Anolis sagrei: one gene and its partner. The protein of the gene in region 1 interacts with the protein of each later gene in a biochemical or structural test. Links are inferred from orthologs where the notes say so. Each region holds a gene or a part of one and is shown in the gene's direction. Other genes may lie near its edges.

The links.
Region 2: the proteins of CFTR (region 1) and NHERF4 form a complex in vitro, tested with the Homo sapiens proteins (2 studies listed by BioGRID and IntAct, with this or other methods). The link is inferred for Anolis sagrei from reciprocal best matches to the Homo sapiens genes CFTR and NHERF4.

What each region holds. Positions count from the first base shown.
Region 1 is NC_090025.1:130,805,556-130,809,470, reverse strand, and holds the start of CFTR (cystic fibrosis transmembrane conductance regulator), read left to right. Parts: upstream 1-1,204; 5' UTR 1,205-1,263; coding exon 1,264-1,316; intron 1,317-3,915. UniProt on the Homo sapiens protein: Epithelial ion channel that plays an important role in the regulation of epithelial ion and water transport and fluid homeostasis. Mediates the transport of chloride ions across the cell membrane.
Region 2 is NC_090027.1:39,533,335-39,537,249, reverse strand, and holds the start of NHERF4 (Na(+)/H(+) exchange regulatory cofactor NHE-RF4), read left to right. Parts: upstream 1-1,230; 5' UTR 1,231-1,340; coding exon 1,341-1,434; intron 1,435-3,915.

The sequences.
Region 1 (3,915 bases):
ATGGCCAAAGGGCTCCCTGGTCTACGTGGTTCCTGGTCAACGTGGCTCCTGCTCATAGTGGTCCCTGGTCAAAGCGGTCCCTGGCTAAAGGGCTCCTTGGCCAACGTGGCCCCTGGTCAAAGAGCTCCCTGGTCAAGAGGGCCCTGGTCAAGGGGCTCCTTGACCAATGTGGTCCCTGGTCAAGAGGTCCATGGTCAAAGTGGTCCCTGGTCAAGTGGTCCCTGGTCAAAGAGCTCCCTGGTCAAAGGGCTCCCTGCTCATAGTGGTCCCTGGTCAAAGTGGTCCCTGATCAAAGTGGTCTCTGTTCAAAGTAGTCCCTGGTCAAAGTGGTCTCTGCTCATAGTGGTCCCTGGTCAAAATGGTTCCTGGTCAAAGTGGTCCCTGGTCAAAGTGGTCTCTGATCAAAGAGGTCCCTGCTCAAGTGGTCCCTGGTCAAAGGGTTCCTTGGGGACACAAAGTGGTATTTGGTCAAGTAGTTGGGAACCACTGCCTCCAATAGACAAGAGTTCTTTCTCTCACCCTGAGCCTTTCACAGAGATATAAACCTCCCTTGCCTATTTTCCAACAGACTTCACAACTTCTGAGGATGCCTGCCATAGATGTGGGCGAAAAGTCAGGAGAGAATGCATTTGGAACATGGCCATACAGCCCGGAAAACTCACAGCAACCCAGTGAAAGCCTTCGACAACACATGTCTGAATTGTGTTACATACTAGTGTAATTCTATAGCAGTTCAAATGGCATCAAGAGTGCACTATTGCCACAATATCCACCTGTACTGAGTTTGGCAATGCTTTCCAACAGGGTTCTGGGACCTTGATCTTTTCATAGGTATCACGAGAGGAAAGAACTGTTGATGTGTTGAGCCTGCCGGTGAGCATAATGTAGAAGAGCCTTGGCAAAGCTCTCCATGGGGTTGCACCGGGAAGGCTTGGCAGAGGAGGAGGAGGAAGAAGAAGAGGAGGAGGCAGAGGCAAGAGCGCCTTTCTCAGCCCCGAGAGGCACCTGTCGAGGCGCTTTCCTGCGGAGGAGTTCGGGGCGGGCAGGCGAGGGCAGGCTTTTGAAGCCCGGCGGAGTCCGAGAGGCGGGGAGAAGGGCAGGAGAAAGAGGGAGGCGGGGACCTCGGCCAGCCTTAAGGGGGGAGAAAAGCGCGACCCATAGGGCGCCGAAAACCCTTCTCCTTCTCCTTCTTCTCCTTCTCCTCCTCCTGCGAAGGCCAGCTCTCCCTCTCCGCCTCTTGCCGCCTCCGAAGCAGAAGGAGCCATGCAGAGGTCGCCGCTGGAGAAGGCGAACGTGTTCTCCAAGCTGTTCTTCAGGTGAGCGGGGCTTGGGGGGAAAAAGAAAGAAAGAAAGAAATGGGGGAGATCGCCCCCAAACTGATCCTTTTCGCTTTGGCAAGGAAGCAAGCATCACCCCTTGAGCCCTTTGCCCGACTCTCAGGGGCGCTTTGAGGAGGGATTTGTGTTGTCCAAAGGAATGGGAATAGCATTGTCCGAAGCGAAGTTATGGATTGTTTGGGAGGAGCGCGGGGCTGCCTCCCATCTCCTCCTGCTTCATCGGGAGCTGGCCTTGGCAAAGAGCGGCCAAATGCCGATAGGTCAGTCCTGGAAACAGTTGGCCGGAGGAGAGGGAAGAGGAGGTTGGTTCCCACAGGAGGAGAGAGAGGAGAAAGAGGAGAAGGAGGAGGAGGAGAACAAAGTGAAGAAGGAGTAGGAAGAGAAGGAGAAGGAGGAGGTGAAGGAGGAGGAGGAAGAGGAGGGGAAGGAGGAGAAGAGGAAGAAGGAGGGGAAAGAGAAGGAGAAGGGAGTCCTCTTCCATCAACTCCTTGCTCCCGTCCTTCTCAGTACCCTTAGCTCCCTCTGATCACTAAGAAGGGGGAAAGGAGGAGGAGGAGGAGGAGAAGGAGAGAGAGTCCCATCATCTCCTTGCCTCCTTCCTTCTCAGTGCCCTTAGCTCCCTCTGATCACTAAGAAGGGGGAAAGGAGGAGGAGGAGGAGAAGGAGAGGGAGTCCCATCATCTCCTTGCCTCCTTCCTTCTCAGTACCCTTAGCTCCCTCTGATCACTGAGAAGGGGGAAAGGAGGAGGAGGAGGAGAAGGAGAAGGAGAAGGAGAGAGAGTCCCAACATCTCCTTGCCTCCTTCCTTCTCAGTACCCTTAGTTCCCTCTGATCACTAAGAAGGGGGAAAGGAGGAGGAGGAGAAGGAGAGAGAGTCCCATCATCTCCTTGCCTCCTTCCTTCTCAGTGCCCTTAGATCCCTCTGATCACTGAGGAGGAGGAGGAGAGGGAGAAGGAGAGAGTCCTCTTCCATCAATTCCTTGCCCCGTCCTTCTCAGTGCCCTTAGCTCTCTCTGATCACTAAGAAAGTGAAGAAGGAGGAGACGGAGGAGAAGAAGGGGGAAAGGAGAGAGAGCTCTTCCATCAACTCCTCGCCTCCTTCCTTCTCGGTGCCCTTAGCTCCCTCTGATCACTGAGGAGGAGGAGGAGGAGGAGGAGGAGGAGGAGGAGGAGGAGGAGGAGGAGGAGGAGGAGGAGATTGAGCCCTCTTCCATCAACTCCTTGTCCCCTTCCTTCTAAGTGCCCTTAGCTCCCTCTGATCACTCAGAAGGAGGGGGAGGAGGATGAGGAGAAGGAGAAGGAGAGAGAGAGCCCTCTTCCATCAACTCCTTGCCCTTGTCCTTCTCAGTGCTCTTAGTGCCCTCTGATCACTGAGAAGGAGAAAGGAGGAGAAGGAGAAGAAAGGGAAGGAGAAGGAAAGAGAATCCTCTTCCATCAACTCCTTCCCCCCTTCCTTCCCGGTGCCCTTAGCTCCCTCTCATCACTGAGGAGAAGGAGAAGGAAAAAAGGAGAGAGATTCCTCTTCCATCAACTCCTTGCCCTGGTTCTTCTCAGTGCCCTTTGCTCCCTCTCATCACTGATGCTTTGTAATGCTGGCAGGTGCTGCTGGGGCTGGATCTACACTGTCTTATATCCCAGGATCTGATCCCAGATTATCTGACAATGTAGAAGCATATAATCCAATTCAAAGCAGATAATCTGGGATCAGATCCTGGGGTATAGAGCAGTGGGGATCCAGAATAAACCATACTTTTCAAATTCATGCAGTTTTATTGAGCATCCCTCCCCAAGTTCAAGTTCACCTTTGGTATAAATTGCCTTTTGGCTCACTTGCGGGATGTACTCCTTGCTCATTCTGACACAGAGCCCAAAGGCTAGGGCTCTTTCTACACTACCCCCTAAAATCCATATTATCTGCTTTGAACTGGATTATATGGCAATGTAGACTCATATAATCCAGTTCAAAGCAGATAATGTGGATTATCAGCATTGATAATTGGATTATATGGCAGCATAGAAGGGGCCTTGGTCTACAGCAGGGGTCCTCAAACTAAGGCCCAAGGGCCAGATACGGCCCTCCAAGTTCATTTACTCGGCCCTCACTCAGGGTCAACCTAAGTCTGAAACAGCTTGAAAGCACATAACAACAACAATCCTAACTCATCAGCCAAAGCAGGCCCACACTTCCCATTAAAATACTAATAAGTTTCTATTTGTTAAAATTGTTCTTCATTTCAATTATTGTATTGTTTTAAAGTGTTTTTTGCACTACAAATAAGACATGTTCAGTGTGCATAGGAATTCATTCATGCTTTTTTCAAATTATAATCTGGCCCTCTGGATTATGATTTGAGGGACTGTGACCTGGCCCTCTGTTTAAAAAGTTTGAGGACCCCTGGTCTACAGTGGGCCAGATCCCAGGATCTGATCCCAGATTATGCTATATAACACAATCTTTTGTTCCTGAAGTTATAAAGGTCATTTTCTCATTGGTTCTATCATACAAACATGGAAAAGTACATCCTGCAGCACATTTTGCTATAGTTTTTCAATGAATATCTCATCAAGTCTCAACTAA
Region 2 (3,915 bases), on another chromosome or scaffold:
CAAACCTTATATCCCAAAACCCAGAAATTGGTTTGGCTTTCCCCCACACTTGCCCCTTATCTGACGAAGCCTTTCAGAGCGACGTAAACACTGAGTTTGCTGTCAATCCTGGCTGATCTCCAGCTGCCTATCCTTCAACTCCCTATCTGGCTGCTCATTAAAATTTCCAGGTGTCAGATTGTTTTCCAAACCCAAATCTTGAGAGCTCACAGAAAGAGGGAGTAAACCATCATCCCGAGGCTCAGCAGGAATATTCTCATGAGAAACTGCCCTTTGCACTGGGGCCTCTCTGTCATTGTCTGTATGAAAATCATTGACCAAACCATCTCTATCTTGCACCTCAGTCTCAGCACCATCATTACTCTCATCATAAGCATTATGATCCTGGAAAACAAACAGGCTGATTCCCAACACTTGATTCCAAATGATCCTTCATCAGACTACATATCCTAAACTTGGGACTTTTCTCTCCTTGTTAATTATGTCACCAGTGCTCAGAAATTGGTTTCGCTTAGCTGAGAATTTATCTTTTTCTGTCAGAGCCTGGCAGAACGCCGAAGCTACTGTTCGGCTCTCCTGTTTCGACTGATCTCCTCTAGTCTATCAATTTGCCCCTTAATTTCTGCAGCTGGGCCAGGTGCCGAGCTGTTTTCATGTCCTTTCTCATGGGAACTCTTTGGTAACAATTAAGAAAGCACACCATCATCTCCACACCCCTCAGGAACATTCTCATGGGAAACTACACTTTGAACAGGGATCTACTGGTCATTCGCTGCATCAATATCACTGGCCAAACCATTGCCATCTTGAAATCCATCTTGAACCTCATTAACATCACTCCCCACATCCAAAGCACCCTGATCCTGAAACACAATCACAGGCTGAGCTCCAACAATAGCTGACTCCCTCATCATAGTATCTTCCTTGGATCCAGATGGATCTGTTTGGTTGTTGGTCACATAACATACTAATAATAGAAAATGATGCGGGCAGAAAGGTAAACACTCTCATTTTAATTTCCTTTTGCTTTACCCCTTTCCCACCTGTTTGTTTTCAGAAATAACCTTCTTCCTGATCGAAGTCCGTCACCGTTTTCCTCCTGTGCATCTCATTTCCCTACGGCACAAAATGTGTCCAGAGTTGAACCTTCCCTGCCAAGAAAATGACAAGAGAGTTTCCCTCTCCTTGCTTATCTCTCTCGAAGGTGGAGAGGCCAGCCTTGTAAAGTCTCCTGACCCGTTTAAACATTAAGCTCCCACGATCTCATTTCCAAAAAGGCGGGTCTCCAGGTGAAGCTGCCACCGCAGGTTGGACCTTGGACCTCAGACACTTAAGGAGCCATGAAGCAGAAGGAAGGTAAGCGGCAGAAGAGAGGGTCCATAGGGACCGACCCAAATGGGACCTCCGAGCAAGGAATTTTGCAGGGTTTGCATGGTATGTATGTCTGCAGGGTTGGATTTGATTGTCTCATAAGCTTGCCAGACAGACAACCAATTCAAATGCAATTTTAGGACATTATAGAAGTGTAGACTCCAAGGGGATTCCAAAGATCATATAGTCTAACCCAGGCATGTGCAAACTTTGTCCTAGGTGTTTTGGACTCCAACTCCCACCATTCCTAACAGCCTCAGGCCCCTTCCTTTTCCCCCTCAGCCGCTTAAGCGGAAAAGGAAAGGGCCTGAGGCTGTTAGGAATGGTGGGAGTTGGAGTCCAAAACACTTGGAAGGCTCAAATTTACCTGTGCTGGAGGCATGAATTCTGATCCAGTGGAGGCTTTTAAACAGAGGCTAGATGGCTATCTGTTGGGAGTGCTTTGATTGTGATTCTCCTGCATTGCAAAAGGTGGTGGACTAGATGGCCTCTGGAGTTCTCTTCTGTAATTCCTTCGGTTCCTTTACATCTCTGTGGTGTTGGGATACAAATCTGGAGTGCAGGGTTCAAATCCCTGCTCGGCTATGCAAACCCAATGGGTGACCTTAGGGAAGTCACACTCTCTCAGCCTCAGGGAGAAGCAAAGGCAAACCCTTCCATCCTTTCAGCCAGGCTTTGATGCTGCAAGGCTATTAAATGCTAATCAAGGTGTCCAATTTTAGGGTGTTAGGAATTGTGGAAGTCCAAAACACCTGAAGGGAGGAAGTTTGCTCATGCCGGGTCTCAACCCGTCTTACCTCCCAGTCTGATCAGCGCCAGGTTTCCACATCCAAGGCAGATTCAATATCCACTATTTTCCAAAAATTGTCCCACTCTGGAAGTGTTTGAAGACCTTTGCAGTGCATTTCTATGCTATGTATCTGGCAACAAGTATAATCAAAATACAAGGTGTGTTTCAGGTATGCATAGATGAGTTTTGAACATATTCCCAATGGAAATGAGGGTTGTAATGTACGGAATTCCTTTTGTTGTTGTCCTGAAATGAGTCATAGATAAAAACATTGAGTAGCAACAAGGTCAGGACAAACCCCAAGCCACCCACTAGTCACGCCTCCGTCGTATTCTTTGGCATTTGCTAGATAAACTGCTAAATCTGATTTAATTTCTGCAAATTAAAAAGTCCCTGCTAGAAGCTCAACTTGTGCTTCTGTCCTTCAATGATGCAAGAACGTCACCGGGGTTCCATTTGAGAAGCTGGAGCTGAATCAAGCCATCTGACTTACTATTTCCATCTTTAGAATCACAGACTCCTAGAGTTGGAAGAGACCTTGTGGGCCATCCAGTCCAACTCCATTCTAAAAAGAAGCAGGAAAATCGCATTCAAAGCACTCCCGACAGATGGCCATCCACCCTCTGTTTCAAAGCCCCCAAAGAAGGCTTTGGGACAGAGAGTTCCACGGCTGAACAGCTCTCACAGTTAGGATATCCTTCTTAACGTTTATTTATTTATTTATTTATTTACAGCTTTTCTATTCCGCCCTTCTCCTCACCCCGCAGGGCGGATTACAGTGTACACATATATGGCAAACATTCAATGCCAATTTTTGACATACAAACATATACAGACATACACAGAGGCTATTTAACTTTTTCTGGCCACCGGGGAGCTGTCGCTTTCATCGTCCATCTGCGATGCTGATGAAGCACTTCCGCATTCCCGCATGCTTCCCTGTTGGAATGCTTTGCTGGAGTCTTTTTTATGGCCTCATAAATGAGTTAATTTAGCCTCCCCACACTTTGAGGTGGTACCTTATTTTCCTACTTGACAGATGCAACAGTCTTTCAGGTTGCAAAGGTCGACAACAGGCTACACATAATTGGTTGGAAACCCACTCCAACCCGGGCTGGCTTCAGACTCCTGACCTTTTGGTCAGAGTGATCTTAATGCAGCTGACACTCAGCCAGCTGCACCACAATCCCATTCAACGTTCAAGTGGAATCTCCTTGTTAATGGAACGGCGATGATCTCTGCACACACAAGGCACTGAAACACATCTTCTTGTCTAAAAACCTAGTTTTTTTAACACAAAACATATTTACACTAGAACTAAACAGAATGAGAAACAAAAACATCTACATGGCTCGGCTCTTCGTTGCAATCAAGAATACGGCACACTCCCACATTCCTTAGTGACGTGATGACGTATGACACTCTCGATGCTAGACAGCATACAACACTTTCTGCACTCGGATTTACGATTCCTCCTTCACAATACAGTTGGCCCTTTCCACACAGGAATTACAACCTCCAGCACATTGCATTACAAAGCATAACATTTCTAAGCACATAATCACTAACTTTGAAAACTACAATACCGTTAATCAAAACACACATACAGATATTCTCAACACTCCTTTCCTGTAGTTTGAAGCCACTGTTCCATTGCGTTCTACTCTCCAGGGCAGCAGAAAACAAGCTTGCTCCCTCTTCCCTATGTGAACACTGGTGGAGTTTGGGGAAAATAGACCTTGACATTTGGGAGT